7 linked regions of the Oryctolagus cuniculus genome follow. The main gene of each other region encodes a partner of the protein of the gene in region 6 in a complex. Links are inferred from orthologs where the notes say so. Each region holds a gene or a part of one and is shown on either strand. Other genes may lie near its edges.

Region 1 (4,291 bases), on a different chromosome or scaffold from region 6:
GCAGAGAGGACAGTAAGAGCAAAGGCTCTGAGGCCAAACAAAACTCGGTGTGTGTGAAGAGTATTATGAAAATCAACATGACTGGAACAGGGACATGGGGGCAGAGGAGCATGGGTAAGGGGTCAATCAGGAGAGCTGGGTGCAGGAGGCAGACAACCTGCAGGCAGGTGGAGGTCACATGAGGGGCCAGCGAGAAAGTCACTGCAGTCGTCCAGATGTGCGGTGCTGGTGGTGATGAGAAGTGAAATTCTGGATGCATTTAGAAAAAAGGCAAAGACGGCGTTGACAGATCATACGTGGGGGTATGACAGAGAGAGGGAGGGGCAAAGATGACGGCAAGGTTTGGAGCTGAGGGAGAGGAAGGACTATGGAAGTGTGATCAATTGACAGGTGGAAGGCTGCTGGAGGGGGCTTGTCAGAGGGAAAATGAGAAACAAGGCCAGAGCTGGAACAGGATGAAGAGTAAATGGAGGGTCTTTGTTTGTTTTTTAATGAAAGACACCAGAGCACAAATGAAGGTGGATGAGTTCACTTCTAATCACCCCAGTTAAAGCCAGGATGGTCGATGCTCTGTGGCCATAGGAGAAGTAGGCCCTGAGGAAGCAGTGCAAAATACTTATGAATGAACAGGTGAGAAGTCGAGTCCAAGATATGGACAGACTTGCTTACTTCCATGGCCCTGCCGCTACCCTTTCCTGTGGTCGCTTCCCGTCGTTACTCCTTCAATCCTTTCATTCACTCATTCCAGACACACAAGTTGTCTCACTAACAGACACACCACACAGCCTTCCTGCCATGGCCTGCTCGGGCAGCTGCTACCATTAGGAATACTCACCCTGCTCTTGCCTCTCTCGCTAAACCCTACCTCGCCTTCTCTCACGCCACTTGGATCTGAGTCCTTACCATCTCTGGTCTAGACTGCTGGGCTCCCTGCTTCTACCTTCACTTACTAGTCTGTTGTGTTCACAGTAGATTCTGTTGAATCATAAGTCGCATCCTTTCTCTGCCTAGGGCCCACCCATGGCTATCATTTCATTCAGGGTAAAAGCCAAAGTTCTCATCATGACCCACAAAGCCCTGCCTGGTCTCGCCGCACCCCCTCCACTGCCACCTGACTTCTCTTACTAATTCCAGTCCAGCCGCGTTGGTCTCCTTGGTGTTTGTCAAACACTCCAGGCAGTGTCCACCCTCATGGCTATTATATTTCCTCTTCCCTCTGCCTCTCACCCCATTCAGACAATCCTAGGATCCAACTTCATATTCCAATATCTGGATTCATGTGTTAATGTTCCCAAAAAGGCTGGAAGGAGGAAGAGCTAGGCAGTAGGCCTCCAGTGTACACACAGACTTTCTTTGCTGTGTGTAAGAAGGCATGCATGGCAGACAGGGCAAGGAGAAACCAAGGGAGCAAGGGGGTAAGGGGCCAACTCACAGTTTCAGCTGAGTGTTCGCTGTCTACCCCTTCCTTGTTGGAGGTGTATCCTTTCTGGATCATGGGGATAGTGAGCATGGAGTCGGCATTTGCATTCTTTCTTTCTTCCAGGGACTTCTCGGTTTCTAAGGAAGAATGGGAGGGAGCAATGAGGTCCCACCCCATGTATCTTCCACCTTCTTCCTTGTCTTTCTTCACTGGAGCAGGGTGGGGAGAGGGGGCCCACTTACCCTCAATCAGTTCCTTCACAGCCTGGGACAGCACCTCATCCATCAAGGTCTTGGTGTCTGTGGATAGCCCAGAGGGCTGGACCAGGGGCTGCCTGTGATAGCCATTCTGAATCAAGGGAATGACAGGTTCCTTGGGGACCTCTGAGGGCTTCACACTGATGTGGACAAAGAAAGGTAAGGTGAGGAGAGAAGCAGGGTCCGTGGGTTCCAGCTACACCCCCCCTATGCAGAGAAACACAAGAGCCAAGCCCCCTCCTAGCTCCATGGACCATGCCTCTGATTGCACGTCATTGTCCCTCCAGCCCTTAAATGACAGTATCTTCCAGGAATCATTGCCAGGCCGTCTGTTCATCCCAAGAACTACAGATGACCATTTGCAGCCAGACTCTTCCCAGCTCCAGAACAGCCTCCTAGGCGGTTGCTTCTCTTCTGCGAGTCCCTCCCTCAGGCACTTCAGCCTCTTCTTTCCTAAAGATGCTGATGCGGCCTCCCTCAACCTGAATCTGCAGCTCCATCTCGTTCCCCGTATTAGAGTCGCCCCCATTCACTTTAGCTGAGACAACAGGGTCCTGTAATTATTCCCTCTTTCCCACTTATCTGAACGCACACACCAGAGTGTCCCAGCATCATAAAGGTATTCCCTGTCATGAATGTGAGGGCATTTCAAAAAGTCCATGGAAATGAATACTGAAATAATGCGCATTTCCCACGAACTTTCTGAAGTATCCTTATACATCTTCTCAGTCCACACGGCCATGAAAAGCAACTTCCCTACTTCTCCCACAAGCTCCTGCCTTCTCTCCTCCACGGATTTCCTGAGGCCGTGGTTCAGGCTTTCCAGGCCACTGTCATCAAAGCAAACTACTCGAGTCCTCCCGCTCGCACCCACGGCACCGATTTACAAGGGGCGAAAGACCCGGCGCTTCACCTTTGTAGCTGCCTCCCTTCCACGGTCTTCAAGAAATCCTTCTCCTCTGGGGCGGACTCTGCGCCATCACTTAGGGCCACCAGCCGCCTCCGAGAGGACGTACGAGTAAAGGCGAATGAAATTGGGGCAGTAGAAGGTGCAGTCGGCTGCAAAACACCATCTTCGGCGTCTGCCATCTTGCCCCAGTTCCCAGGCTGGTGCGCTGCTTGCTGGGAAGTTTAGTTTGGGTTCAATTCGCTAGCGGCAGTCAGACAAGCGCAAGAACTACATTTCCCAAAAAGCATTGCGGCGTCGGCCGACGAAACCAAACAACTAGCCGTAGGAAGTTATTGTAGCGCGTCTGAATTTCACAGGAATGCGCCTGCGCCAAGTATACCGGGAACTGTAGTTCCGCCAAGAGGCGGTAGCGGTAGAAGGTAGATTCCTTCTTCCCAGGAGTTCGTTTCTTCTTGTTTTAGAGAATGGTCTTGAAAACAGGTATTCCATTATTCTAACAATCTCATGGCTATGTTTCCAGTTTAGAAACCCTGGGCATCTTGGGATGGGCCCTGAACTCCCAAAGGAACAGCTACAGTAACTTTCAAAACAGAGCAATAAATTTTTAAAAAATCTTTATTCAGCAATACTTTTAGACTTACATGTCGCGAAGTAATACTGTTCTTTTTTTTTAAAAAAAGATTTATTTATTTGAAAGTCAGAGTTACACAGAGAGAGGAGAGGCAGAGAGAGAGAGAGAGAGAGAGAGAGAGAGAGGTCTTCCATCCAATTGTTCACTCCCCAGATGGCCACAATGGCCAGAGCTGTGCCGATCCGAAGCCAGGAGCCAGGAGCCTCTTCCCAGTCTCCCACGTGGGTGCAGGGACCCAAGGACTTGGGCCATCTTCTACTGCTTTCCCGGGCCATACCAGAGAGCTACACAGGAAGTGGAGCAGCCAGGTCTCGAACCGGTGCTCATATGGGATGCCGGCACTTCAGGCCAGGGCGTTAACCCACTGCACCACAGTGCCAGCCCCAAGTAGTGTTCTTTTATATCTTTTATCCAGATACTCTTAAGCTTTTTATATAACAATAGTATAATTATCAAAATCAGAATGATGCAATACTATTAGCTGTAGACAATTTTCTGTTCCAGAATTCAGAATTAAACCTAAGATCACATATTGCAATATAATTGCAATGCCTCCTTTCTCTTCTTCAGTCTTGTGGCAGCTTCTCAGTCTTTCTTGACTTCTAACTCTTGCAAAGTACAGTTCATTTTTTTGTAGAACCTTCCTCAGATAGGTTTGTCTGATGATTTCTCATTGTTGGACTGAGGTTATGAATGTTTGGCAAAAAATGATGCAGAAATGATGTGCCCTTCTAACTATATCATACTAGGGGATTTGTGATGTTGATATGTCTTATTACAAATGAAGTGAGCATGGATCACATGGTGCTATAGTTTGAATATTTATCTCTCTTCACTCAGGAGTTTAGTCCTGAAAGGATTTTTTTAATGATGTATTTATTTGTTTTTAAAAGGATTTATTTATTTTTTAAATTTTTTTTTTTACAGTGAGACAGGGAGAATCAGAGAGAGCTCTTCCATCTGCTGATTGACTCCCCAGATGGTCTCAATGGCTGGGGTTGGGCCAGGCTGAAGCCAGGAGGCTGGAACTCCATCTGGGCCTCCCATGTTGGTGGCAGGGGCATAAGCACTCA
Region 2 (4,176 bases), on a different chromosome or scaffold from region 6:
GGCAGAGAGGGGCAGCAAGTTCTGCACAAAACCAAGGATTGGGAGTTCTCCAAGCAGGCCCTGAGGCCTTAGGAAGGGATAAGACCAGACACTGGGGGAGGCTGGGTTGCCCATCGGGCACCAAAACCTGCGGGTGTTTTCCTGGGAAAGCAGTTCCTGGCCAGAGAAGGGAGGAGCTCACCTCCGTGTGCCCTCAAGCCCCAGGCTCCTGGTCCCCAGGCCTTCGCTGCTCTGTCCAGCAACAGGCGGGAAGTCCCCTGGCTAAGACACACTTTCCCAGGCCATCCAGGATCCCCACAGAGTCAAAGGACAAAGGGCAGCTATGGTACCCAAGCACCAAGGCCAAGGTCAGAATGGCGCTGTGGCACAACTGGTTAAATCCACGGCCTATAGTGTCGGCATCCCATGTGGGTGCCGGTTCGTGTCCCAGCTCCTCCACTTCCAACCCAGCTCCCTGCTAATGTGCCTGGGAAAGCAGAGGAAGATGGCCCAAGTCCCTAGGCCCCTGCACCCACACGGGAGACCCAGAAGAAACTCCTGGCTCCTGGCTTCGGATCGGCACAGCTCCGGCCGTTGCGGCCATCTGGGGAGTGAACCAGCAGATGGAAGACCTCTCTCTCTCTCTGTCTCTACCTCTCTCTCTAACTCTGTCTTTCAAATAAATAAAATAAACCTTTAAAGAAGAAGAAGGTGTGCATAGGGCAGGGCTGCAGCCTGCGTCCACCGCAGCTGTACTTGGCCCAGGGATGCAGCCACATTCCTTGGCCCCAGGAGCTCACAGCTCCAAGCACCATGGGGATGTGGCAAGGCCTCCTTTCCTGGTGCTGTTCTCTCCTGAGAAGCTCCGAGGAGTCAGACCAAAGGGCTTCAGGATCCCGGGCCCAACAACGCAGAAAGCTGCAGCGGTCCACAGGGGCGAGCTGAGGCTCCTTCCAGGGCCCTCCGGTGCTGCCCGGGACAACCCAGCTGTCAGAGGCTTAGGGCAGGACCCCAGTCCTCGGGACTTCGGGTCAGAGGTGGAGGGCCCCAATGGGGTCAGAGCGGAGTCGGCCGGACTTGAAATCCTGAAGGGTCGCAGGGAGCCGACGCTGAGGCTCCAGGGGGACGTCTAGGGGAGAAGGCTGGGCTGCGACCGCCAGCGGGTGTGGGGAGTGTGCGTCTGCCTCGACAGCCCCCTATGTGGGCACCCCCAGATTCTGCGGCACTCCTGGGTCGCCCCGGCTCCTCGCCGCATACCCGACCGCGCACCTGTCTGCCGCGCGCGTCCCCGCGGGCCCGGAGCTCATTGCGCACGCGAGCCGAAGAGCTCCGTGACGGCCCCGCCCCTTCTCGCCTCGCCCCGCCCCGTCTCTCCCCGCCCCGCCCCTTCCGCCCTCCGGGGGCGGGACTAGCGCGGCTTCCGGCCGGGACTCTGACAGGATCCTGAGGGTCCCGCCTCCCACTTGCCGTTTCGAGCTGCGGATTCTCGCAGGACCTGAGCCCCCCGGCCGCTGCGGTGAGGGTCTCACGCGGCTGTCCAGGCTGCCTTCTGCCCTTGTCCCACCGGGCCCAGGAGCGCTCGGCCGCCCCGCCATGGCCCAGAAGCCCAAGGTGGACCCCCACGTCGGGCGGCTGGGATACCTGCAGGCGCTCGTCACGGAATTCCAGGAGACCGCGAGCAAAGGTGAGAGCCGCGGGTGGGCGCCGCCGCGAGCCGAGGGGAGAGCCGAGGGGAGGGCGCGGGTGGGCGCCGCGAGCCGAGGGGAGAGCCGCGGGTGGGCGCCGAGGGGAGAGCCGCGGGTGGGCGCCGCCGCGAGCCGAGGGGAGAGCCGAGGGGAGGCCGCGGGTGGGCGCCGCCGCGAGCCGAGGGGAGAGCTGAGGGGAGGGCCGCGAGCCGAGGGGAGGGCCGCGGGTGGGCGCCGAGGGGAGAGCCGAGGGGAGGCCGCGGGTGGGCGCCGAGAGCCGAGGGGAGGGCCGCGGGTGGGCGCCGAGAGCCGAGGGGAGGCCGCGGGTGGGCCGGCGCGAGCCGAGGGGAGGGTCGCGGGTGGGCGCCGGCGCGGGGGCCGAGGGGAGGGCCGCGGGTGGGCGCCGCGAGCCGAGGGGAGGCCGCGGGTGGGCCGGCGCGGGGCCGCCGCCCGGGACCGGCTCCAGGGTCGCTTTCCCGTTGCAGACGCCAAGGAGCAGGTCCTCGCCAACCTGGCCAACTTCGCCTATGACCCCAGCAACTTCCAGTACCTGCGGCAGCTTCAGGTCCCGGATTTGTTCCTGGACTCGCTGTCGGAGGAGAACGAGACCCTGGTGGAGTTCGCTATGGGTAAGGGGGGCCGGACCCGACACCTGCGGGGCTGCCGCGCGATGGGAGGGTTGCAAGGGAGTCGTCGGCAAAGCGGCCTTTAGGGGCCCCCCTTGTCGCCCCACAGGCCATCAGGTCACAGCTAATGTGCGGGAGTGCGGGGGTCCCACCCAGGCCCCACCCTCTGCCTAGAGATGGGATCGCAGACAGGGAATGGGAGGGAGCAGCTTGGAGGTGGATCTTTAATGCGACGATAATGTAGACTTTAAAGTCTTTGTCGTTTACTGAAAGGCAGAGAGAGAGAGATTGAGAGATTGCACCCACTGGTTCGCTCTGCAAATGGCCACAACTTCTCCCAGGTCTAGGCCAGGCCAGGCCAGGGCCAGGATCCGGGACCTTCATCCCTCAGGTCCCCACAGGGGCAACAAGGGCCCAGCACTGCCTTCCCGGCTGGATCAGAAGCAGAGCAGCTGGGACTTGAGGCAGGACTCCCGCCAGTTGGCCCACTGCGCCCTCATCCCTGTCCTCGTGCAGAAATGTTTGAAGTCCATACATAGGTTTTTTTGTGAGACTTTTTCATGAACTTGTAATTAATTAATTAATTTGAGAGGCAGAGAGACAGACAGAGCTTCCATCTGCTGTTTTACTCCTCAAATGACAGAAATAGTCAGGGCTGGTCCAGGCCAAAGCTGGGGGCCAGGAATTCTATCCAGGTCCCCCCCCATGAGTGTCACGGATCCGACTACTTGAACCCCTCATACAGTGCCTGCCCAGTGAATACAAGGATATTTCAGCAAGTTAATGGGAAGTGGAGTTAAAATATAAGGGTGTTTTTGGTGCAATTAAAAAAATTAAATTTTTTTCATAATGCACATATTCTATGAATTTTTAAAAATATTTCCCCCCACTCTACTGTACTCTTCTCTTCCTTCCTTCTTTCCTTTTTTTCTTTTCTTTTTTTTTAAGATTTATTTTATTTATTTGAAAGAGTTAGAGAGGTCTTCCATCCGCTGGCTCACTCCCCAAATGACCGCAGCAGCCAGAGCTGAGCTGATCCAAAGCCAGGAGTTTCTTCCAGGTCTCCCACATGGGTGCAGGGGCCCAAGGACCTGGGCCATCTTCTATTGCTTTCCCAGGCCACAGCAAGGAGTTGGATCAGAAGTGAAGCAGCCAGGACTTGAACTGGCGCCCATATGGGGTGCTGGAGCTGCAGGCCAGGGCTTTAACCTGCTGCACCACAGCGCCAGCCCCTTTTTTAAAAAAAAAAAAAATTTACTTATTTGGGGGACCAGTGCTGTGGCACAGTGGGTTAAAGCCCTGGCCTGAAGCGCCAGCATCCCATATGGGTGTTGATTCTAGTCCTGGCTGTTCCACTTCCAATCCAGCTCTCTGCTATGGCCTGGGAAAGCAGTAGAAAACGGCCCCCCTGCACCCACGTGGGAAACCCAGAAGAAGCTCCTGGCTTCAGATCGGTGCAGCTCCAGCCATTGCGGCCATCTGGGGAGTGAACCAGCAGACGGAAGACCTCTCTCTCTGTCTCTACCTCTCTGTGTAACTCTGTCTTTCAAATAAATAAAATAAATCTTAAAAAATAAGTTTATTTATTTGAGGCCAGCACTGTGGTGTAGTATGCTAAGTCTCTGCCTGCAGCGTCAGCATCTCTTACGGGCACCGGTTTGAGTCCTGGCTGCTCCTCTTCTGACCCAGCTCCCTGCTAATGCTCCTGGAAAGAAAGCAGCAGAGGAGCGCCCAAGTGCTTGGGCCCCTGCACCCATGTGGGAGACCCAGAAGAAGTTCCTGGCTCCTGGCTCCTGATTGGCCCAATTCCAGCTATTGCGGCCATTTGGGGAGTGAACCAGCAGATGGAAGATATCGCTCTCTCTCTCTCTCTCTCTCTGTAACTC
Region 3 (4,174 bases), on a different chromosome or scaffold from region 6:
CTCCAGAGGCTGACACAGTGAGAAGGAACAGTGCTAACCAGCAGGTTACACCAGATCCCTGGCTCCCTCTGCCAGGACCTCTCATGCTTTGAGCACAATGCAATGATGAACAGTAAATTCACTCCCGCATGCTTAGTCTCAGGAGTGGGAACTTACACGACGGCTCCACAGAGGCTCTTACCCACCTTGCTTTTTTTGAAGTCAAAGCTTTATTTTCATTCAGCTTTCTTCCACCACTTTCTGTATCAAAATATTTCAGTAAGTTATTTCTACATACTTAACATCACACCTACTAATTCAGTTAGAAGTTCATCCTTTGACCTCCCACCATTAGAATAGCCTATATCAAAATTTTTAAATTCTCGTGAAATAGCTAAGTTTTTGAGATGCTACTTAGAAAATATTAGGGAAACAATGACGTTTATGTGAGATGCAGTTTTCTTACTCAGACAGCAAGCAGTACTTTAGGGGTGAGTCTACATTTACTCCATCCACTATAAAATCTAGAAGTTACTACTTTGGTGTCACAGACTCTGAGTCCAGTTCAACTTTCGTTTCCTTCCTGGTGAAAACAGCTTAAGTAATTTTTTTTTTATAAAGAAGATAAAAACTAGGTGAGGAGAGGAGAAATTAAATTCGGACTCTACACTATGACACACTCATCACTTGAAAATATTTAGTAGGTTTGCTATCTCCTGCTTACTATGTTAGGAACCTGTGCATGTAACTGGGAGAACTAGAGAGAAGGCATTAAATCACTGGGGGACCCCGTATATTCTTTATAGACAAGATACTCTGAGAATACAACATCTCACTTTACAAATAAATGTAAAAATATATTATTCACAGGTGGTATTTAATTCAATTTCTGTTTTCCAAAAGAAAAAAAATACCTGTGGTATTTCTTGCACCATCCTTCCATGTATCCGGAGTGATAACAGTGCCAAGTTTCTTTTCACCTGTTGTGATAAAATAGTAAAAGGGGCATTATAACTTGCTAGTTAATAAATACACCACATGGTGCCAAGGCTCCCAATGCCATCAACAGTCATATTACAGTGGGAGCCTGTTAATGCTGGGGTAGAGGCTAGTGAACTGAGATTCAAGATTTTTTTTAAAAAAATTTTATTTTATTTGTTTGAAATGCAGGTTGGGGAGGCAGGTGGTTTCCCATTCACTGGTTGGGAGTGGAACTGGGACTCACATCCAAGGATGCAAAACCCAGACACTCTAATCTGGGATACAAGCATCCCAAGTGACAGACTAACACAAATTACATGGGAGGCCAAAGTTAGAGATTTAAGAACCACACCTAAGAGATGAGACATTTGGGCCAGCACATAATATAAAGATATTTAATTCAAACTTACTCAAATACACACACAAGTCCAAAAACCACTGCAAGTACAAGATGAAGCAGAGTTACAGACAGTCAGTGTCAAGTAAGATCATGCACTTTCTGAAGGGATGGACAGGTCAGCCTATGATCACACTGCACAACTCTGAATATACTGAAAACCAGTGAATTGTACACTTAAAGTGCATGAATTGCATGGCATGTGAATTACGTCTTAATGGTTATTTTCTTAAAGCTTAATGTAAGGCAACAATGGTATGTGGTGTAGTATCCAGAAGGAGGGAGGCATTAGTTGCACTCTGGCCCACATATGGAGCAGAGTTTAATTCTGTGTCACGCAGTAGTGAGTTATGACAGAGGACACACTAGGGACCTTTGTACCAGGCATTACCTATGTCATTTCATGTAATTCTCAAAAAAACCCAAGGCTTATGTTGCGTTCTCATTTTCAGATGGGAAATCTGGGAACACCACGCAGCTTTGCCATGGGTCTGTGTGTCCAGACTGTATCCATCTACCACGGGGATGCCCACAGGTCATGTTCATTAGACCATAATCAGGATTAAGAGGAGTGGAACTCTTGTCACAGAAGAGCCAGAGGGAGAGGATTTGGGAACTTGACAGCTGCTTTTAAACACATAAACAGCTTGGTAGGTCCACAGGGTGTATTTTCTACAAATCTTAAGAGTTTGAATTAAAAACACTGGGTGGCAACCACAGAGGAAAATACTTTCCTCAAGCCAGCAATGCCTCCTTGCAGAGACTTCTTCGTAGGTCGTGGGGGTCTCCAGCCTCCCCCACCCAGATACTGTTTCTTTCATAGGATGGGATGCATTCAGAATAAGCAACGAAGCCAATTTAGTAAGGCACGTCCTAAATAACCGAATGGGGCATACTTACAGCACTAAAAAAAAGTATTCGTTGTTTATCTTAAATTAAAATTCAATTGGAGGTCTGGAATTGCTAGATCTCGCAACTCCACACGCTACAGAAATGACTTTTAAGGTCCATTTTAAGCCTGACGGAGGCGGTCGAGAAGCCGTAACTGATGAGGCGAGAGCCAGAAGGCGGCGACGGCAATGGGCAAAAAGGTGCAGAACTAAGGCCATTCTGATGACAAAATATACGGGATTACACAGTCGATGAGGGGCAGGAAGGGTCACAGGGCAAGGGTGGGAGAACACAGGCTAGACTTAGAGACCTGTGGGAAAAGGAAAAACCAAGTTCCCAGGAGAGTCCGAGTAAGTTCTCCCAGCCTCCTCTCCCCACACAAGCGGCCCCTTAACTCACATTTTTCGCACACCATCTTTCCGCCGACGATTCGCCCTCCTCGCCCCAGAATCAGCCGCAGCTTGAAAACATCAACACTACAGCCTGGGAAGAATTTTCCTTCCGGGCTACGTCAATCTACTTCCGGCCCCTAATCCTCCGCTCCCGCCAATCCTACGCCTGGAAAGCCGCGGGAGGCATGAACGCCAGCGGGTAGGCGGGGCTGCCTCGTTTGTCCGCCCATCCCCTTCTGCGATTGGCTGTGCGACCGTGGGTCTCCGCCCCGCGCGCTTGCGCCTGCGCGTGGGCTGGGGCAGCCCGTTGTGCCTTGATGGTGGGAGGCAGTAGTTCCCTTTCCCTTCGCGGGCGGGAGAGTTAGGTAAGCCCCGTTGGCTGCGTTCTCCTCTGGGAGGTGTGGAAGGCGCCTCCGCCAACTGCCCGAGTGGTCGCGAGCTTGCGCGCCCCCGCCGGCCCTCGGAGGGCCTCCTTCCGCGTGACCCAGGGGCTCCCCTGCTGGACCGCTCCTCTTTCTCAGGCGCGTTCCTGCCCGCGTCCCTCAGCTTTCGCCGGCTGACGGGCCGAGCCCCAGTGACCCGGTGTGGGGTGGGGCTGCGGATGAAGTCCGCGACCCGGGCGGCGGCTGCCCCGGGAGGGCTCGCCGGCGCCCTGCTGGCCGGCGTGGGCGGGCCGAGATCGCCGGCGCCGTGGCGGTGGCCCCGCGAAGGCGCGCCCGGCAGGTGTCCTCGTGGGCCCGCCGAGAAGGGCAGGCGCTTCACCTGCCCGGGTTCCTTCGTTCTTTGAGCAGGCGCTGGAGTGTGGCTTCTGCTGCTGGGATTCCGAGGGTGGCCCAGAGAAAGTAAGGGGGATCTGTTGAGAGAATGGATTTCTGTTCCCCCTACCCGACCCGCAGGCAGCTGAGAGTCTGAGAAACTTTGTCCCTGCTTGTCGCCCGTTCTCTACCGGATCCCTCGTGTGTCCCTTTATGTCTGTAGCGCTGGGGAGCTTGGAACAAGTCTCCTGACTTGTTTTTCTTGTTTAATCAGTAAACTACTTGCCTTTGATAAATGACCGCGGGAATCAAATAAGAGCTATTCGCCAGTGAGCTCCATCCTCTCCCCACCCACATATGCTTTTATGTATTTTTTAGGGCTGTTTCTGTTTGGTGGAATATTCACAGTGTAACACGTTGACTATTTAATAAAGTCTGTACTCCACACTGCCAATACAATGCATAAGCTCTCAGGTAACTAAATACATGAGACAGTAAAATTTTTTCTGCCTCCATTCATGTTTTATTCTTGATTGGAATCTAGCACCTGTAACAGACCTAGTCATTTTGGAAATGCTAGAGTCTAGGGATCCCTTAGTTTAGGGTAATGCTCTTTGAGTTCTTTGGTTGCCTAGGCTGCCACTTGAATATTCCAGTGTGTCCTTGGCATTTACTAGATGTGAAACGCGATGTTAGATGAGGAGGGACACCAACATTTTAGCCAAAGTGTATTCGTGAGGTTTCTAGAAAGCATAGGTTGCATTTCCAACAGAGGCAGA
Region 4 (4,052 bases), about 23 Mb from region 6:
AGATAAGAGGTGAAAGTAGGAAATGAAACATACGTCTGTTAAAGGATCATCTGCGTCAAGGTTGGCAGCAGGAATCTGGTCTAACCGAGGCTTCTTGGATACTGAAGAGGAAGTTGTATGTTCTGGGGGTAGGCAAACATCACCTAGTTACTGACACACGTTTCTTACGATTCAGGGACTCATGGGCACAAAACAATCACACTAAAAGCATCCCAGCAGCAGGGCTCATACAGTGGCTAGCAGATAAGCATTTGGATAAATATTTATCGAATGACTTAATGAAAGCACTGATTTTATACAGGAACTGCGGCCTCAGGAAATTCAGGGAATAGTTTATACATGTTGGGAACCTAAACCTGATCATCACTTCTAGGCTAGTTAAGAAAGCACTGTAATTCACACTAATACTTAAAAGCAAACAAACAGAAATATTAACAGTTTCTAATTAACACATAAAAAAATATGGAGAACATAATTTTATGAGACAAACGTTTGGGATAGCGTTAGTACCCCGGGTTGGACGATCCCTATTTTTCTCTCTGGCAGCAGCTCTCTCTCTCTCTTCCAGCTCTCTCCTGAAGTCCCGGTTACGAACCTCTTCAGGGGCATCCTGAGTAGTTTGCCTAAATTATAAACCAATCAGGGTCAAAAGGTTACTAGAAAGAAAAAAATACATGGCTGTAGCAATGAAATATAATTCATCACAGCAACTTTGTCCTTTAAGCCTAAGAGGAAAGTTGTCAGAATTATGACACAATCTGAAGGTTGAACTGCATACTTTCCCATAATACAGCTACAGATTTATTATAATGTCCTTAATTTTTTGAACTATGCACTTGGCTCAGTGGTTATGGTGTTGTTTGGGACACTCCATAAAGGAGTGTCTGGGTTTGAGACTCATCTTTATTCTCCATTCCAGCTTCCCAGTAATGTGAACTCTGGAAGGCAGAAGGTGATGGTTCAAGTACTCAGGTCCCTGTCATCTACCACATGGGAGACACAGATTGAGTTCTTGGTTCCTGGCTTAAGTATGGCCCAGCCCTGACAGTTGCAGGCGTTTGGGGAGTGAACCAGCAGATGGGGGATCTCTTTCACTCCGCTCTTCAAATAAAATAAATAATTTTTTCCCTAAAAGCAGGTATTTAATTGTTGTATTATTAGAAATTCAGGGCCTGTTACAGTAACGCTTTCAATGTCATGTTGACTAATGCTGGTAAGTGCATAGTTTCTCTGAGATAATCCACTAGCTACCATTCCATCTCCATATGGAAACTCCTGGATAATAAGAATTTGGGCTGCAGGAAGGGGATAGAACTTTAAAATCACAGAGTGTAATTTTGATGTTAAACTTTCTATTGTATTCTATTCCTCTGAAAATGGTAACTGAAGTGATACAATTCAAACCTACCCCTACTACACATCATGGCCATGCTTTTCAACAGATTAGGCCTATTTCATGAGCAAGAAAAAGCTGCGAGTCTTTATACCTATATTTTATCTTTGTATGGGAAGGTAAGTCTCGGCTGGAATACTGCTTTGAGAGTTGGCTCAGATCACCTTCCCCTTTTCCTCTTCCACCTCTTGCAGGTTCAAAAGTTGGTCTGGCTGCTGTCGTCATCTTTGACGCTATGGGGGAAAACAAAGTTGTTTCTAATGCGACATACTTTCACTGTGTAAGGTACTAAACAAATATCCATCCTTGTGAAATAATCTCAAAACTTGCTTCAATAACCCTCCCAAACCAAAGTTCTGAAGGAAACCAATTATGAGGTGCAAGGGCAGCTTTTATCTCACACCAAAAATTCTGTGGTGAAGACCTGAGTTTCTGCTCCTGTTCCCCTTCTGTGTGGCCTTGGACAAGTGACCAATCTTTCATTTATAGAATGGGGCTATTCCTCAAAGAATTATGAGATCCCACATGTCAAAGCCCTAAAAGTTCTCAGTTTAAACCTTAGTTTAAATGTCCTTAAGGAAAAGACAAAAAGAAAGAAAATTTAAAAATCACTGACAAACTCTTAAGTGTCCCAGAGGTAAGTGTGCTGAAAATCAGTGGGAAACATTCTCCAACAATCTTGTGGATTCGATTTTCTCCTGGGACAGTCCTCACAACATACACGTCAGGCTACAATTTAAGAAATGCTCCAATGACAGAAACCTAATCCTCAAAGGAATCTGATAACGGAAAGAATACTGCCCAGCTGATGGGGCTACTAAGAGCCCAAAAGCCCGTTAACGTCAGAAAAGCAAGTGTCTGGGGAGGGTGCAGAAGACGGCAGGATTATTTTGTATGCTTCCCTCGGTTTCCAAAAGGCCGTGAAAGCCTGCGTAAGGAGAGAGAGAAGCAGGTTTTCTAGGGTCGGGGGCGCCGCCGCTTCCCAAAAGCTTCAGGTTGATCACTCCGGCCGCCCGGGAGCCCGCCTTTCGCCTGGCTGGCCTGCTTCAAGCCCCGGCTTAAAGCCACAGAGGGCAGAGCTTCGTTCCGCGCTGGAGGCCGGGGGCTGCGGGCGCGCCCGGCCGGCACCGGGCTCCACCGCCCGTCCGCGGCTCCCGGTCTTTCCCGCCGGCGCTCGGCACTCGGCCAACGCCAACTCTGACCCCGACTGCCGTCTCCCACGCCACCCGGATAAGAAACACAAACTGCTCTCCCCGTGCCGCTCACCTAGGAAGACGTCCGATACTACACTCACGGAAAATCATACAGACGCCATTGTGCTTGATAGCTCCCAGAAACCTCTGCGCCCAGGGCCAAAGCCCAAGACCCGGAAGCAAAACCCGAGCATTTTTAACCGCCCCAAAGAGGTGGCGGCAACGACCAATCCTCAGAGGCCAAAGTGGAAGTCGGTGTGACGACATCAAGGGGCGGGGCTGAAACGGCCCAGGGGGCGGGCATTTGAAATCAGTGCTTTAGAGCAGACCTTGAACATCATCTTACGCTTTCGAGAGCCAGTTACTTAATGTCTCTTCCGTCTTTCCCTTCCCCAACCCCCCCTCCCAGACTCCTTCATTCCGGCACTGCGTGGATGGAAAACCCGGTGTAGCCGACACCACATCCATGGCTAGCGGGAGAGAGCGTGCAAAGGGATTTCACCAAACAGTTTAAATCCAACGATTCTGTTTCCATCCTTTCTCCTGAGCTAGAGCCAACAAGCCTAGAAAACTAGGCTGCGGAAACACTAGTGTTTTCATTTAATTGGATATGAAGAAAGAACAAATATGTGCGGGGGCAACCACGATCTTTATAAAGGTACCATTCCTGCAAAAATATTAGACTTCACAGCAAAGGTTGTATTCGTATTGTTTGCTAAGTTTTTTTTTTTTTTTTCCCTTTAAAATGCCCTTAAGTTCTGTGAGAGGGGAGATGTCAGCATTAGCGTTTACGACCTTGAACGTTTAGAACGGTGGGCCCAACCGCCAGTGGCACGGGGTGGAATTATTAAGATGGCTACTGATGCATTAGGGGAGGTTGTAGTAAGACCAGGAAAAGGCAAAAAGTAAATCACCAGTCGTTTTTCTTTCTCCCCTGAGAAACAAGCACTCTGAGAGCAGGGATCTTGTTTGTTTAGTCCTTCCTGGTAGAGTGTCACACATGGTAGTATCCTGCGCAGTATTTGTTAAACCAGTGAAAATTTAAGTTTTCCCAATTTAGTGTCAAAATTGAACATTGAAGGATTTTTCCTGAAAATTCTTTCTTTGAAACTTTTAAGTGAAACCAATGTAGAAAAAGCGCCTTCCTCTGTAAGGTTCAAGTTGGAAAATTTTGTGTGTGTTTGCTTTTTCTTTCAAATATATTCCTCCCCAAGTCCTGCACATCAGTAAAGGATGCAGCCATCACACTAGTTACTCAAACCAAAAACCCCAGGGCACCTACTTAACAGTTGCTTTTGCTTCACTATTCACATCCTGTTCCTTCGCAAGTCTTGTCAAAATTTACCCTAAATTCCATTCCACAATCATGATCTCATCAAAACCACCATCATCTTCCACCTGGATAGTGATTAATCATAGCTAGCATTCCTCACTTGCATAAAACCCCCTGCACTTAGATTAAAGAC
Region 5 (4,293 bases), on a different chromosome or scaffold from region 6:
GGTCTCCTGCCACCCTCTGGACTCGGCTCCAGGCCAGCAAGGGAGGAAACCCTGGCCAGGCACGGGGGCCGAACGCCTCTCCCCACACTACCAAAGTCTGGTCTTCTCCCAGCCTCTGCGCCCACGCTTTACCTTGGGGGCAGAATGGCATTCAAAATTTCTTCTGCCTGCTTTGTAGGATCTGGGACACAGGAAGTTGAGGGGAGCTTGGTCTTGGTTATCTGTGGGATTGGACTGGAGGGTCCCGGCTGCTGGGGGCTGGCTTTCAGTGGCCGAGCCTGGGAAGAGACGATTCAGGCCTTCAGCCCCCTGGACGCCTCCGGGTCTTGCGCACCCCCTCCCCTACCCCCAGCCCGTGAAGAGTCCCTGGTCCCAACGCAATGCGCGGACCAGTGTTTCTGGAGGAAGCGGTCAGGCGTCTGCGCTCCCACCTGTAGCGGTGGGGACATCGCGACCTGACCTGTCCTTGAACCCGACTACCGGGAGAGGAATCCCTACCGTCTGTCTCCCCGCGACCAGGTCTAACCTGCGGCGCTCACACCCAGCGACATCTGGACCACCCGGACCACTCGCTCCCTCTCCGCCCGTCCCAGGGCCCGTCCCCGGACTCCGGACTCTCGCCGCGGGGATCTGCCTGGCCCGGTCCCCCGAGGCCCGTCCTCACTTTGGGGCTCCGTTTCTCCGTGTTCCGGCTCACCAACACCGGGGTGTCGTACTTGAGCAGAGAGTCGGCCGGGGGGATCATGGCGGCGATGGGGGCCTGGTTTGCGGTCACCATGGAAACCGCCCCCCCTCCCGGCCGGGGCGGGGCCTCGGGTGGGCGTGGCGCGGCGCGCGGACGCGTCCCGCGCAGCCCTGGCGCTCGGCCCCGGCACTCGGCGTCTTAATCTTGCTGCCAGCCGGGTCGCCCGGGAGACGGGGGTTCGAGTCCCTGCGCTGCGTATAGCGCGCAACTTGCGTGATTGGGTAGATCCCCCTTCGCTGAGCCCCAAGATTGTCACCTCAGTGAAGGGCTGGAGACCATTCCCCAAAAGAGGGTCTCTGGAATCCCCAGGGCTTTAAAAAGTATTCCTCAAGGTTAAATGGCGAACTGACATAGCAGGATTTGTCCACGGGCTACTATGATTGCATTTTTGTATTTCCAAGGCCAAATGGAATCACGGTTGGCGCGCAGTTTCGTCGCCTTCCTCTACCGTGTCGGTCCGGGCTTTTTCCACAAAGCGGTATATGGTTCGTGATAACGTTACTAATAGCTACGTAATGCCCAGTGATTGGCTAAGGAGCCCCCTACAGCTGTACACTGAGGTTGCCCACATGCTCTGTAGTTACGCGGTGAAGAATTAACTTGAGAGGTTCGCTTTTCCCCAGTAGTTTGCTTTCCAAACTTAAAACTCCCGCCCTTCGGGCCGGCTCCCTGCAGCCCCGCCCACGGGGGGGGCGCCGTCACATGTTCAGCGCTCCGCCGCGAGGGTTGCTGGGAGAGCTCACACCCCGGAAGCGGAAGTCCAGAGGTCAAGCTCGTCATTTCCTTCGGAGAGAGTGGCTCAACGGACCTCTTTTCTTTTGCCCGACCCGAGTCGCAGAATGAAAGAGGTGAAGAGCGAGCGGGAGCGGAGGAGCCGGCGGAGGCACCGGGAGGGGGACGTGGCGGCGGCGGCGGCGGCGGTGGTGGTGAAGCAGGAGCGCCTCAGCCCGGAAGCCGAGCCGCCCGCCCCCCGCCGGCCGGACCTCGGCGCTACTCCGTCCCCGCCGGCCGGCGAGCCGGGCCGCCCTGGCCACCGCGGGAGCAGAGCCCGGGGAGAGAGCCGGTAAGCAGAGAACAGCCGGGGTGGACCTTGGGTCGGACTCATTGAGAAAAGAGCACAGGGCCGGCATCAGAAGTGGGTTCTGAATGCCGAGCCCAGCAGCGGGAGGCGGTGGGAGTGGCCGGGTCGCGCTCGGGTAAAGGCGTGTGTGCTCCGGTGCTGGTTACTTGCGTGACAGCTGGGGTCGAGCTGATGCCTGTGGGTCAGGGCCTCGCCCCCTCTTTCGTGTGTCGCCAGCACTTCGCGGAGCGCGTGGCCCAGCGGCTAGCACTCATCGTCCGTTAAGTTGAAAGATTTTCCCCCCGTCTGCCCGCGCAGGGAGTGCGGGCGTTGTCTTCGCCCTTATCCACCCCACGCGAGTATAAGCGATCTGCTAGGTGCACTGTTTGTTCATCGTTCAGCGTACTTTTACTGAATGCCTATAGGGTACTAAAGAGTGCACTAGGGACCTGGGCCACACGGGTGAGGCTTTCGTGAAATTGGACGAGCTTGAGCCCCAGGAAGACTGCCAACATGCAAACAAAACAGTTTCCGATGGCAACAGGTCTCAGGGCTAGGTCGGCCCAGTAAGGTGATCGTGAGAGACTGGAAGGAAGCGGGGATAGAACTCTTTGAAAGAGGTGCCGTTTGAGCAGAGACCTGAGTGATCTGGCCGCCGAGGAAACGTGCAAGGAACGTGAGCTAGAAGTCGTGATCGTGGAGGAGGAGGAGGATGGTAGCGATGAGGTGGGCCGGGGAGGAGGTGCCTCCCGTGAATTGTGGTGATGAGAGTGACTTCTGCATGGTGGTGGGCGAACAGCCAAGGGACAGACCTGGACAGGAGAGTCTTCAAAGGGTAGGGGATGGAGAGCCGTGTTCCCTGAGTGAGGAGGATCCGAGGCTCCGAGGCAGCGGCGTAGGCGGGAGAGTAGGTGAGGAACGGGAAGCCCCCCGGCTCCTTTGGTGTGATCAGCAGTCTTTCACAAATGTGTTTGTGTTAGTAGGTAAGCCCCATACCAGAAGCTAGCTTATGTGGGGGAAGGGAAACTGAGATAAAATCCTGTGTGTACCATGCCCTGAAAGGTCTCCAGCCAAAAAGAAAAACAAGTCCTCGGGGAGAAGAAGCAAGTCTCCTCGGAGCAAGAGAAGTCGGAGTCCTCACCACTCGGCAGTCAAAGTGAAGCAGGTAAGTGGGCTGGGGTGTGTTGAGGTGGGGTCTTAGGCCAGCGCCTCTTCCTGCCACCGCAGCCAGGGAAACAGCCAGCCAGAAGCACACCCACAGAGACAGCACCTACACCTGCAGCGGGCTTTTCTGAAAACTGAGTGTGTGAGTTTGTTTTGGTTGTTGGTAAATTTCTGCTGGTTTTCTTAAGCTTTTTTATTTTGAGATAATTACTGATTTAGATCAGATTTAATAAAGACAGGTGTTTCTCCCAATGGAAGCATGGTACAGAAGTGTAGTCACAATATCACAATCAAAATATTGGCATAAGTTACAAAACGTTTTTCCTGCCACCTGGACATGGCATGTTGTCCTGTTATAGCACACCCACTTCTTTCCCACCTTCTCCCTTCCATAAGTCCTGGCAACTTTTAATCTGTTGGCTTAATTTTGTCATGTGTCAAGAATGTTACAGGCCGGCGTCACGGCTCACTTGGCTAATCCTCCGCCTGCGGCACTCGGTACACCGGGTTCTAGTCCCGGTCAGGGCCCCGGATTCTGTCCTGGTTGCCCCTCTTCCAGGCCAGCTCTCTGCTGTGGCCCGGGAGTGCAGTGGAGGATGGCCCAAGTGCTTGGGCCCTGCACCCGCATGGGAGACCAGGAGAAGCACCTGGTTCCTGCTTTCGGATCAGCGCGGTGTAGCGGCCATTAGAGGGTGAACCAACGGCAAAAGAAGACCTTTCTCTCTGTCTCTCTTACTGTCCACTCTGCCTGTCAAAAAAAAAAAAAAGTTACATAAGCGGCATCACACACCATGTAACCTTTGGGACTGGCTTTTTTCACTCAGCAAAGTTCTTTGGCATGTAGGTTGTTGCATTGATCAGTTCATTCCTTCTTCTTGAGTGGTATCTGTAGTATTAGTTTAGCCGTTTGTCCATTAAAGAACATCTAGGTTTCCAGTTTTTGACTCTTACACATAAAACTGCTGTATAAACATTTGTGAACAGGTTTTATGTGAACATAAGATTTCATTTCTTTGGGATAAATGCCCAGGAGTATAGTATATAGTATAGTATAGCATATATAGTATATATGCTATATATTATACTATAGTATAGTATAGTAGTTGCATGTTTAATTTTTAAAGAAATTGTTTATTTTCCATAGTGGCTGTGTTCGTTTGCTAGGACTGCCATAACGAAATACAGACTAGGTCGCTTAAATGTTAGAAACTTATTTTCTCGTTATTCTGAAGTCTAGAATTTGAAGAATAAGGTGTCAAATAAGGTGTCAGGTTTAGTTTCACCTGTGTGGGGGTAGGGAACTGCTTTTTGGCTTGCAGGTGGT
Region 6 (4,008 bases):
AGAGAGAGAACTTCCAGCTGCTGGGTCCCTCCCTATATGGCCACAATGGCTAGGGCTGGGCAGGCTGAAGGCCGGAGCCAGCAGCTTCTTCCAGGTCACCCATATGAGTGCAGGTGCCCAAACACCTGGGCCATCTTTCACTGCCTTCCCAGGCACATTTGCCAGGAGCTGGACCAGAAGTCGAGCAGTGGGTAGCAAGGGCATAAGCACTCCTGGGCTGCCTTTCCTAGACAAGCAGCAGGGAGCTGGATCGGAAGTGGAGCAGCTGGGTCTCAAACAAATCCCCATATGGGGTGCCAGCATTAAAGGTGGCTTTACCCTCTATGCCCCAACACTGGGCCTGTTTTGCTTTTCTAAAGCTGAGAATAATTATAGCTTTTGTATTCATGATTAAACTACCCAGGTTAAATAAAATTTCAGTTATCTTTGCTGTTAACTGAAGTTGTATCCTTTCTCTGTTGGATCTGAGTTTGAGCAACTTCGATCTACAATAAGTCCTTTTTTTTTTTTTTAGACTTTTTAAACTTTTTATTATTTATTTCAAATAGTTACAGAGAGAACGGTAGAGACAGAGAGAGAGTTCTTCTATTCGCTGGTGCAAGGGCCAGAGCTGCACCGATCCAAAGCCAGGAGCTTCTTCCGGGTCTCCCACATTTGTACATGGGGCCCAAGGACTTGGGCCATCTTCTACTGCTTTCCCAGGCCATAGCAGAGAGCTGGATTGGAAGAGGAGCAGCCGGGACTAGAACTGGTGCCCATATGGGATGCTCGTGCTTCAGGCCAGGACTTTAACCCGCTGTATCATGATGCGGGCCCCTACAATAAATCTTTAATTTATCCTTTTTTGTTTTTCAAGTAAATTTTGTTTATTCATAAACATAACTTAGTTCACAAAGGTTTTTTTTTTTTTTTTTTTTTTTGGACAGACAGAGTGGATAGTGAGAGAGAGAGAGAGAGAGAGAGAGAGAAAGGTCTTCCTTTTGCCGTTGGTTCACCCTCCAATGGCCGCCACGGCTGGTGCACTGCAACCGGCATACCGCGCTGATCTGAAGGCAGGAGCCAGGTGCTTATCCTGATCTCCCATGGGATGCAGGGCCCAAGCACTTGGGCCATCCTCCACTGCCTTCCCGGGCCATAGCAGAGAGTTGGCTTGGAAGAGGGGCAACCGGGAAAGAATCCGGCGCCCCGACTGGGACTAGAACCCGGTGTGCTGGTGCTGCTACTTGGAGGATTAGCCTAGTGAGCCGTGGCGCCGGCCGTTCACAAAGTTTTTAAAAATTTTGTCTGCAGACTTTTAACATAAAGGCCTAAGAGTGACAAGCAGGTGTCGGGGGAATATATTAAAAACAAAAGTATCTTTGGTGATTAAAAAAAACTTGGAAACCTATTATTCTAATTATTTTACAGGGTTTTTCTAGTTGCAAAATATTACAAGTCAATGAAAAAGAGAATATTTGTAGCTTTGTTTCACTAAGTGTTGAATAGGGTCATCTGGGCAAAGACCACAAAGATTGTGAGCAGGGACAGAAAACCTTTGGCTGACTAGAGGAGTGAGAGAAGGGAAGACTGCCAGTGTTAGCAAGGATTGATCAGAAGTGTCTGTTCATATGTGGGGAGAAAAATGGGAAAGAGGCAATTCTTGACAGAGTGATATAAGCAAAGATATGAAAACATGATAGTGCAAGTCATTTTTTAGAGACAGTAAATGCATCAGTTTAGTATTAAAAGATGATGAGAAAGTAGTTTGAGGCTAATGTATGAAGGCCTTTAAAGATAAAACTGGGTGCTGGTGTTGTGGCCTATGGGTTAAGCTACTGCCTGCAGCGCCAGAATCCCATATGAGTGCTGGTTTGAGTATTGGCTGCTCCACTTCCAATCCAGCTGCCTGCTAATGCACCTGGGAAAGCAGTGGAGGATGGCCCAAGTGTCTGGGCCCCTGCACCCATGTGGGAGATCTGGAAGAAGCTCCTGGCTCCTGGCTTCAGATCCGCCCAGCTCTGGCCATTGCGGCCATTTAGGGAGTGAACCATCGGATGGAAGACACTTTCTCTTTGTGTGTGTTTGTGTGTGTCTAACCCTACCTTTCAAATAAATAAAATCTTTAAAAAAACATAAAAACTTAACGCCTTGGGAAAAGTTAACAGCTGCAAGTGTGATGGTGCCATGAAGATTCCAGTTCTGTGAAATGACTATTGACTTGCTTGAGGATGTCCTGTATTTTCAAGTATAAAGAGTGATGTCTGGTGCTTGAAGGTATTAACTTTTTTTAAGGTATTTAAGCGATAATCAGAGAGAGATTGTAGTGATAGACAACCAAGCGGGAACCTCATTTTATTAAAGTTTTTAAACAATACCTTACAAAATTTTGTGTGTGAATGAATTCTCAGTAAATCCCAAACAGCTTCTCTCAGTGCTAAAAACTGGCTGATAAGTGCCGTTGAATTCTTTGTAAACCTAACAAAACTTAACAGAATTTCTCATTCTGGGAAAGAAATGATTTTCTCTATGTAATTTCTTTAGAAAACTGCTTGAGAATAGTTCATTATTATGTGTAACAGTGGTCAGAAATATTTCTCTCCATGGTACAAAACAATGACTCAACCAAAACCTAGGAATGTAATCAAAATGCACCCATACTATTAGGTACAAGTTCAGACAGTCCCTGTTTGCCCTCCTTTTTATTACTCCTTCTTACCCCATTGTGGTTTAGCCTGACTAATCTATTTGCAACACATCAACATTCTGCAGAAGTTTTGTAGTTTCTATTTGAAGGGAACAAACTGGAGGGCTGTGGAAATTTCAGATTTCATCTCAGATAGTATTTGTTAGTAGTGTGTGTGTGTGTTTGTGTATTCTTAAACAACAATCCTTTTTTAAAAAGTTAGTGTCACTTGAGAGGGAGGAGAGACAGCCAGAGAGAGGGAGGGAGAGTGAGAAAGGGTGCTCCCACCTGCTAGTTCACTCCCCAAATGTCCCCATCAGCCAGGACTAGGGTGGTTTGAAGTTGGGAGCTGGGAAGTCAGTCCAGTTCTCCCACATGAATGACAGGGATCCAATCACTTGAGTCATCACCAGGAAGTACATTATTAGGAAGCTGTAGTCAGGAGCCAGGGCCAGGAGCACCTGGGAGGTTTTATTTATTTATTTATTTATTTGAGTGGCAAAGTTATAGACAGAGAGAGGGAGAGACAGAGAGGTCAGTCTTCCATCCACTGGTTCACTCCCGAAATGGCTGCAACAGCTGGAGCTGGGCCAATCTGAAGGCAAGAGCCAGGGGCTTCTTCTGGGTCTCCCATGCAGGTGTTGGGACCAAGAACTCTGGATATCTTCCACTGCCTTCCCTGGCCACCAACAGAGAGGAGCAGCTGGGACACAAACCAGTGCTGCAAGTGGAAGCTTAATCCACTAAGCCACAGCGACAGCCCCCCTGTAATGTCATTTAAATGAAGCGAGGAATGAAGGCTTCCTCTAGAGGAACAGCCTTTAAATGCAGAAAAGGGAGCAGACGTTTAGCCCAGTTAAAATGCCGGTTAAAGACATCTCTGCCTGATATCTGAGTACCTGGGTTTAGCACCTGGCTTTGGCTTCTGGCTCCAGCTTTCTGCTAATGTAGACCTGTGTGGCAATGATCATAGCTCCAGTAATTGGGTCCTTGCTATATGTGGGAGACCCAGATTGAGTCCCGAGTTCCTGGCTTTGGCATGGCCCAATCCTGGCCATTTTGGGCAGTTGGGGAGTGAACGCCACTGGATAAAAGCTCGCTCTCTCGTTCTCTCTCTGCCTCTCAAGTTTAAAAAAAATCAAAGAAGAAATTAAAGAGGACAGTGGCCTTGGGGACAGGGAATGGAGTGTGCTTGGCATATAATTTAATATGTCAGCAGAGAAGAGTTCCACAGTAAGCTGGAACAGCCCTGCTGATGTAATGGGTATAGTCTGAGGGAACGGAAAAAAGATCGTTTAGCAGAAGGAAAAAAAAAAAAGATTGTAGTATCCTTAGAAGGCCTTGAA
Region 7 (4,204 bases), on a different chromosome or scaffold from region 6:
ACTAGCTACGTCCTGCAAGCTAAGGGAAGGGCCCACCCAGGTCCCTGCCCACCCAGGTTCAGTTCCCCCAAGAGAGCGGACTCTCCCAAGGCGGCTACAGGAGGACTTTTGCGTAGTTGGCACCCTCTCCACCCGGGGCCCTCCCACGTGACCGCCAGCACAGCTGACTGGGGTCCCTGCCCTGTTAGTATCAGGAAACCCCAGCTGACCAGAGGCTGGGGGAAGGGAGAAGAGCCCGAGGCAAGGGTGTCCACCTGGCCATGATTTCGCTACAGCTCCACAGCCTGGGCAGAGACGGCCAGGGACGCGCGCGGATGGACCCTGCTCCGCGCTAGGGCGGGGTCCCCCTCATTCCCCGGGGCTGAGGGCTGGGCCCTCAGAGAGAGGCACTGACCCGGCTCGAGCGGCGGCCCCGCTGCCTCCGCCTCCGTCCTCATGACCCGCGCAGCACGGGGCGCCCATGGCCCCGGCCCGCTGCGGGCTGCAGCTTCGGCTTCAGCTGGCGCAGGAGCGCAGCCAATGCGTGTCGAACGCCGTAGCCGCCGCCGCCACCGCCACAGCGGGGAGAAGCGGAGGCGGCGGCCGGGCAGCCCCAAGCCCCGCCCCAGCCACTCCAGGTCTTGGATCCGGAGGCCCCGCCCCTCCCCTAATCCCCGCCCCTTCCCAGTCCCAGACTTCGATTCCTAGAGGCTTCCAGCCTCATGATTTAAGCCCGGCCTGGCCATTCACAGTCTCGGTTTCTGGTAGCTCCGCCCCCTTACCGAATCCTCGCGCAGACGCGCGGGCCCTTCCTTCGCTCGGTCCCCCGGAAGCTCCGCCCCTTCTGAGCCCCTCCCCGAGGGCTCGGCGCAGCGCAAACACTGGCTCCCCAGGGGCTCTTTCCCTCAGCAAGCCCCGCCTCTGCCAGGCCCCACCCCTTTGCCGGCTTCAGCTGTAAGCCGGCTCCGGCCCTGTGATTGCCTAGGGTCCAGGCAACCGTACTCTGATCTCTTTAGTGCTGAGCCGGCCCCTGCTCCACTTGGTACCTCAGTTTCTCTGTCCAGACACGACACCTCCCCTCTCTGAGAGTTCCCGTTACCTGGCAGTGCCGGGTTCCAAAGATTAAATTGTGAGGGGAGGTCCCAGCCCTCATTCCCACTTCCTGCTGCCCCGGATCCGAGGACCCAGGCTGTAGATCCCCTCCTTGTCGTCCAGCCAGTCTTTTGTGAGGGGTGCTTGGAAGCGCAAGCCCCCCTCTCCCGTTTCGGGCCCCCGCGTCGGGGCTTCCGGCGGCCCCCGGGCCCTGTCATCAGCCCTCTCTTCCGGCGCCGGAACTATCGTACCTGGGTCCGCGTTTCCCAGCCGGCGGAGTAAGGAGGAAGCGGAGACGAGCTCGCGCTCTGGGACGGTCCCCGCGCGCGGCATTCTGGGAGCGCGTGGTATTCTGGGAGTGCAAGGCCCGCCATTCGCCCCGCTCACGCCTTCTCTCTCGCAGTTGTTGTCGCAGCACCGAAGAGGAGGAAGAAGGGGCTCGAGCCGGTGAGTAGGGGCCGGGGACGGGAAAGGGGAGGCCTAGGCGCTCGTGAGGGATCGGGGGCTGGGGCAGGACGCGCTGCAAGGAACCGCGCAGGGCTCCGGGAGGGAAGGAAGCGGGAAGCCGGGACACCCAGACACCCGCGTCGCCTCGCCTGAGCCTGGGGAGTGAGTTCGTTACCTCCCCCTCGTTTCTGGCTGCTTAGCCTCGTCCCTGAACTCCATCGGCGTCATCCTTGGCCTCCAGCCCCCTTTTCCGGCGCTGATGCAGCCCCTCGTGCTTTCCACGCCATTGCAAAAGCGTTTTCCGAAGTTCCTCTGCTTCTGAACTGTGTGTTCGATTTGGCCTGTAAACGCTGATACCTTTCCATTGGGTCGTTCCTTCCTTGAGATCCCGCGCTGGTTCCGTGCTCTCTGAAACGTAACATTCCAGCTCTGGCGGCGGAGGGCTGGGGATCCTCACGGAGCGAGCCTGGCTGCCCTGTCGTGTTCTCCCTTATTTCGTGCCAGCCTTGCGTCCTTACCTGGCTCAATAAAAACTCCACTGCTTGTCTCTCAACTACGTCGGCAGATCCTTGTGTTTTTCCTCCAAGATAAGCAGTTTCCTACACGTTGTCCCTTTGTGACCGCTTTGCTGTTTTCTCTTTAGCTTTAACAGTAAAGCGAATGGAAAGTCAGAGGCTGAAATAAAAACACAGCCTCCTCTCCTGGATATGTCTGGGTCCTCTGGTTGGTTGGTTTGTTTGTAAGATTCATTTATCTGAAAGGCAGAGTTACACAGTCGGGGTCGGGGGCAGGCAGAGAGAGAGATCTTCCATCCCCTGGTTCACTCCCTCAAATGACTGCAACGGCTGGAGCTGGGGGCCAGGCCAGAGTCAGGATCTTCTCCCCGGTCTCCCACAGGTTCAGGGGCCCAAGCATTTGGCCCATCCTCTCCTGCTTTCCCAGGCTATCAGCAGAGATCTGGAGTGGCAGTAGACAGCCGGGACTTGAACCAGTGCCCCTGTGGGATGCCGGTGTACCCGCTGCACCCCATCGTGGTTTTCAGGATGCAGTCACCCACAGCTGTGGATAGGCAGATGTGTTGCTCAGCATGGACGTTCCGAGCGCCTCTCTCCCAACACACAGACCACATTGGTCACTGGTTATCTTGGCCAAGGAAAAGGGACATGAGGGGCCAGTGTTGTGGGGCAGCTGGTTAAGCTGCCACCTGTGACGCTGGCACCCACGTGAGAGTGCCAGGCTGATTCTCAGCTGCTCCATTTCCTATCCAACTCCCTGCCAGTGCTCCTGGGAGGCAGCAGATAATGGCCTGAGGTTTGAGCCCCTTGCCACCCACATAGGGAGACCCAGATGCAGTTCCAGGCTTTGCAGCCATTTGGGGAGTGGCCCAGCGGATGGAAGATCTCTCTCTCTCTCTCTCTGTATCTGTATCTGTGTCCCTTACTCTGTCTCTAGGTAAAGGGACATGGGAGCAGGTGAGGAGTAGGGAGGTAGGTGGGAGATTCTTTTCCTTTCCGTGAGCTTTCCTTCTGTCCAGCACGCTGTCTCTCCCCTCTTCATATTGTGTGTATTTGCCAGGAAGGCTCCTCCAAGCCAGGAGCTGAGCTGCTCTTGTGTAGAAAATGCAGCTTTGGCACCGGTGTTAGGTTTTATGGGGTCCAGGCCTTGGGGAGACATGGTGCGCACCACACGCGGCCTCTGGCTCTGAAGGCTGGGCTCACTGCTGTGTCTCCCACCACAGCACTCTCCTCCTGCCGAGATGTCCATCGGTGTGCCGATCAAAGTCCTGCACGAGGCCGAGGGCCACATCGTGACCTGCGAGACCAACACCGGCGAGGTGTATCGGGGCAAGCTCATCGAGGCAGAAGACAACATGAACTGCCAGGTACGGGAGGCTGGCGGCGTCTCCATTGTGCCCGACGTGTGGCAGGCGCTGCCGCGGGCTCCGGGACTGTGGGCCTGAGCAAGAGACAGTACTGGGGCAAAGAACCGTATGGAGATTTGGAATAGTTAACTTTGGCCTTTGCCTTCTCCATCCCATAATTGTCCCCTCCCAACTCCCCATTTTAAAGATTTATTATTTATTTGAAAGGCAGAGAAAGAGAGGGAGAGATCTTCCATCTACTGGTTCACTCCCCCAAATGGCCACAGTGGTTGGATCTGGGCTGATCTGAAACTGGGAGCCGGGAGCTTCTCCCAGGACTCCCACGTACAGGGACCCAAGCACTTGGGCCATCTTCTACTGCTTTCCCAGGTGCATTAGCAGGCTCAGAAGTGAAGTAGCTGGGACTTGAACCGGTGCCCGTATGGGATTCCAGTGTTGCAGGCAGTGGCTTCCCCTGCTACACCACAGTGCCAGCCTCTCCCATGTTTTGGGGCCTGTTTGAGAGAAATGGTGTTACCACCTTCAGCAGAATTCTTCAGGTTCAGGGCCATTACCCTCCCACCCCCACCACCCCACACAGTGAGCAGAAACCTGTGTGCTCTTTTTCTTAGAAGAGGGGTCATGTTTGATTACTGCAGCTGCCTAGTGAGGTAAATGAGTTTGGTGATAGTCTCGGCATCCAGGAAAGAGGGAGAATGTGGTTAAAGGACTCATCTACTGAATATTGCTCTGCTAATAAATGATAGAGCAACTTTCTAACGTGGTGTCTTTCTCAAAGCACTGCTTTTTACATAGTCAGGTAAA

Evidence for each region.
Region 1: BUD13 (region 6) and GPKOW share a complex: the UniProt entries of both Homo sapiens proteins name them as parts of the minor spliceosome. The link is inferred for Oryctolagus cuniculus from reciprocal best matches to the Homo sapiens genes BUD13 and GPKOW.
Region 2: BUD13 (region 6) and ARMC7 share a complex: the UniProt entries of both Homo sapiens proteins name them as parts of the minor spliceosome. The link is inferred for Oryctolagus cuniculus from reciprocal best matches to the Homo sapiens genes BUD13 and ARMC7.
Region 3: BUD13 (region 6) and CRIPT share a complex: the UniProt entries of both Homo sapiens proteins name them as parts of the minor spliceosome. The link is inferred for Oryctolagus cuniculus from reciprocal best matches to the Homo sapiens genes BUD13 and CRIPT.
Region 4: BUD13 (region 6) and CWC15 share a complex: the UniProt entries of both Homo sapiens proteins name them as parts of the minor spliceosome. The link is inferred for Oryctolagus cuniculus from reciprocal best matches to the Homo sapiens genes BUD13 and CWC15.
Region 5: BUD13 (region 6) and SNIP1 share a complex: the UniProt entries of both Homo sapiens proteins name them as parts of the minor spliceosome. The link is inferred for Oryctolagus cuniculus from reciprocal best matches to the Homo sapiens genes BUD13 and SNIP1.
Region 7: BUD13 (region 6) and SNRPD3 share a complex: the UniProt entries of both Homo sapiens proteins name them as parts of the minor spliceosome. The link is inferred for Oryctolagus cuniculus from reciprocal best matches to the Homo sapiens genes BUD13 and SNRPD3.

The regions. Positions count from the first base shown.
Region 1 is NC_091453.1:34,252,582-34,256,872, forward strand, and holds the start of GPKOW (G-patch domain and KOW motifs-containing protein), read right to left. Parts: upstream 2,801-4,291; 5' UTR 2,767-2,800; coding exon 2,591-2,766; intron 1,818-2,590; coding exon 1,663-1,817; intron 1,558-1,662; coding exon 1,433-1,557; intron 1-1,432. UniProt on the Homo sapiens protein: RNA-binding protein involved in pre-mRNA splicing. As a component of the minor spliceosome, involved in the splicing of U12-type introns in pre-mRNAs.
Region 2 is NC_091448.1:5,404,931-5,409,106, reverse strand, and holds the start of ARMC7 (armadillo repeat-containing protein 7), read left to right. Parts: upstream 1-1,376; 5' UTR 1,377-1,572; coding exon 1,573-1,663; intron 1,664-2,149; coding exon 2,150-2,293; intron 2,294-3,657; coding exon of another isoform or gene 3,658-3,686; exon of another isoform or gene 3,687-4,176. UniProt on the Homo sapiens protein: As a component of the minor spliceosome, involved in the splicing of U12-type introns in pre-mRNAs.
Region 3 is NC_091433.1:156,146,859-156,151,032, forward strand, and holds the start of CRIPT (cysteine-rich PDZ-binding protein), read right to left. Parts: upstream 2,801-4,174; 5' UTR 2,664-2,800; coding exon 2,648-2,663; intron 960-2,647; coding exon 894-959; intron 241-893; coding exon 186-240; intron 1-185. Other genes in the region: PIGF (phosphatidylinositol-glycan biosynthesis class F protein), read left to right, coding at 3,854-3,869. UniProt on the Homo sapiens protein: As a component of the minor spliceosome, involved in the splicing of U12-type introns in pre-mRNAs. Involved in the cytoskeletal anchoring of DLG4 in excitatory synapses.
Region 4 is NC_091432.1:86,202,907-86,206,958, forward strand, and holds the start of CWC15 (spliceosome-associated protein CWC15 homolog), read right to left. Parts: upstream 2,801-4,052; 5' UTR 2,660-2,800; intron 1,627-2,659; 5' UTR 1,619-1,626; coding exon 1,488-1,618; intron 624-1,487; coding exon 511-623; intron 123-510; coding exon 34-122; intron 1-33. UniProt on the Homo sapiens protein: Involved in pre-mRNA splicing as component of the spliceosome. Component of the PRP19-CDC5L complex that forms an integral part of the spliceosome and is required for activating pre-mRNA splicing.
Region 5 is NC_091438.1:135,212,807-135,217,099, forward strand, and holds the start of SNIP1 (smad nuclear-interacting protein 1), read left to right. Parts: upstream 1-1,493; 5' UTR 1,494-1,584; coding exon 1,585-1,808; intron 1,809-2,867; coding exon 2,868-2,970; intron 2,971-4,293. Other genes in the region: DNALI1 (axonemal dynein light intermediate polypeptide 1), read right to left, coding at 133-278, 665-778. UniProt on the Homo sapiens protein: Required for pre-mRNA splicing as component of the spliceosome. As a component of the minor spliceosome, involved in the splicing of U12-type introns in pre-mRNAs. Down-regulates NF-kappa-B signaling by competing with RELA for CREBBP/EP300 binding.
Region 6 is NC_091432.1:108,946,649-108,950,656, reverse strand, and holds the start of BUD13 (BUD13 homolog), read left to right. Parts: upstream 1-1,208; 5' UTR 1,209-1,239; intron 1,240-4,008. UniProt on the Homo sapiens protein: Involved in pre-mRNA splicing as component of the activated spliceosome. As a component of the minor spliceosome, involved in the splicing of U12-type introns in pre-mRNAs.
Region 7 is NC_091452.1:31,112,355-31,116,558, reverse strand, and holds the start of SNRPD3 (small nuclear ribonucleoprotein Sm D3), read left to right. Parts: upstream 1-1,404; 5' UTR 1,405-1,518; intron 1,519-3,256; 5' UTR 3,257-3,274; coding exon 3,275-3,400; intron 3,401-4,204. Other genes in the region: protein GUCD1, read right to left, coding at 1,079-1,289. UniProt on the Homo sapiens protein: Plays a role in pre-mRNA splicing as a core component of the spliceosomal U1, U2, U4 and U5 small nuclear ribonucleoproteins (snRNPs), the building blocks of the spliceosome.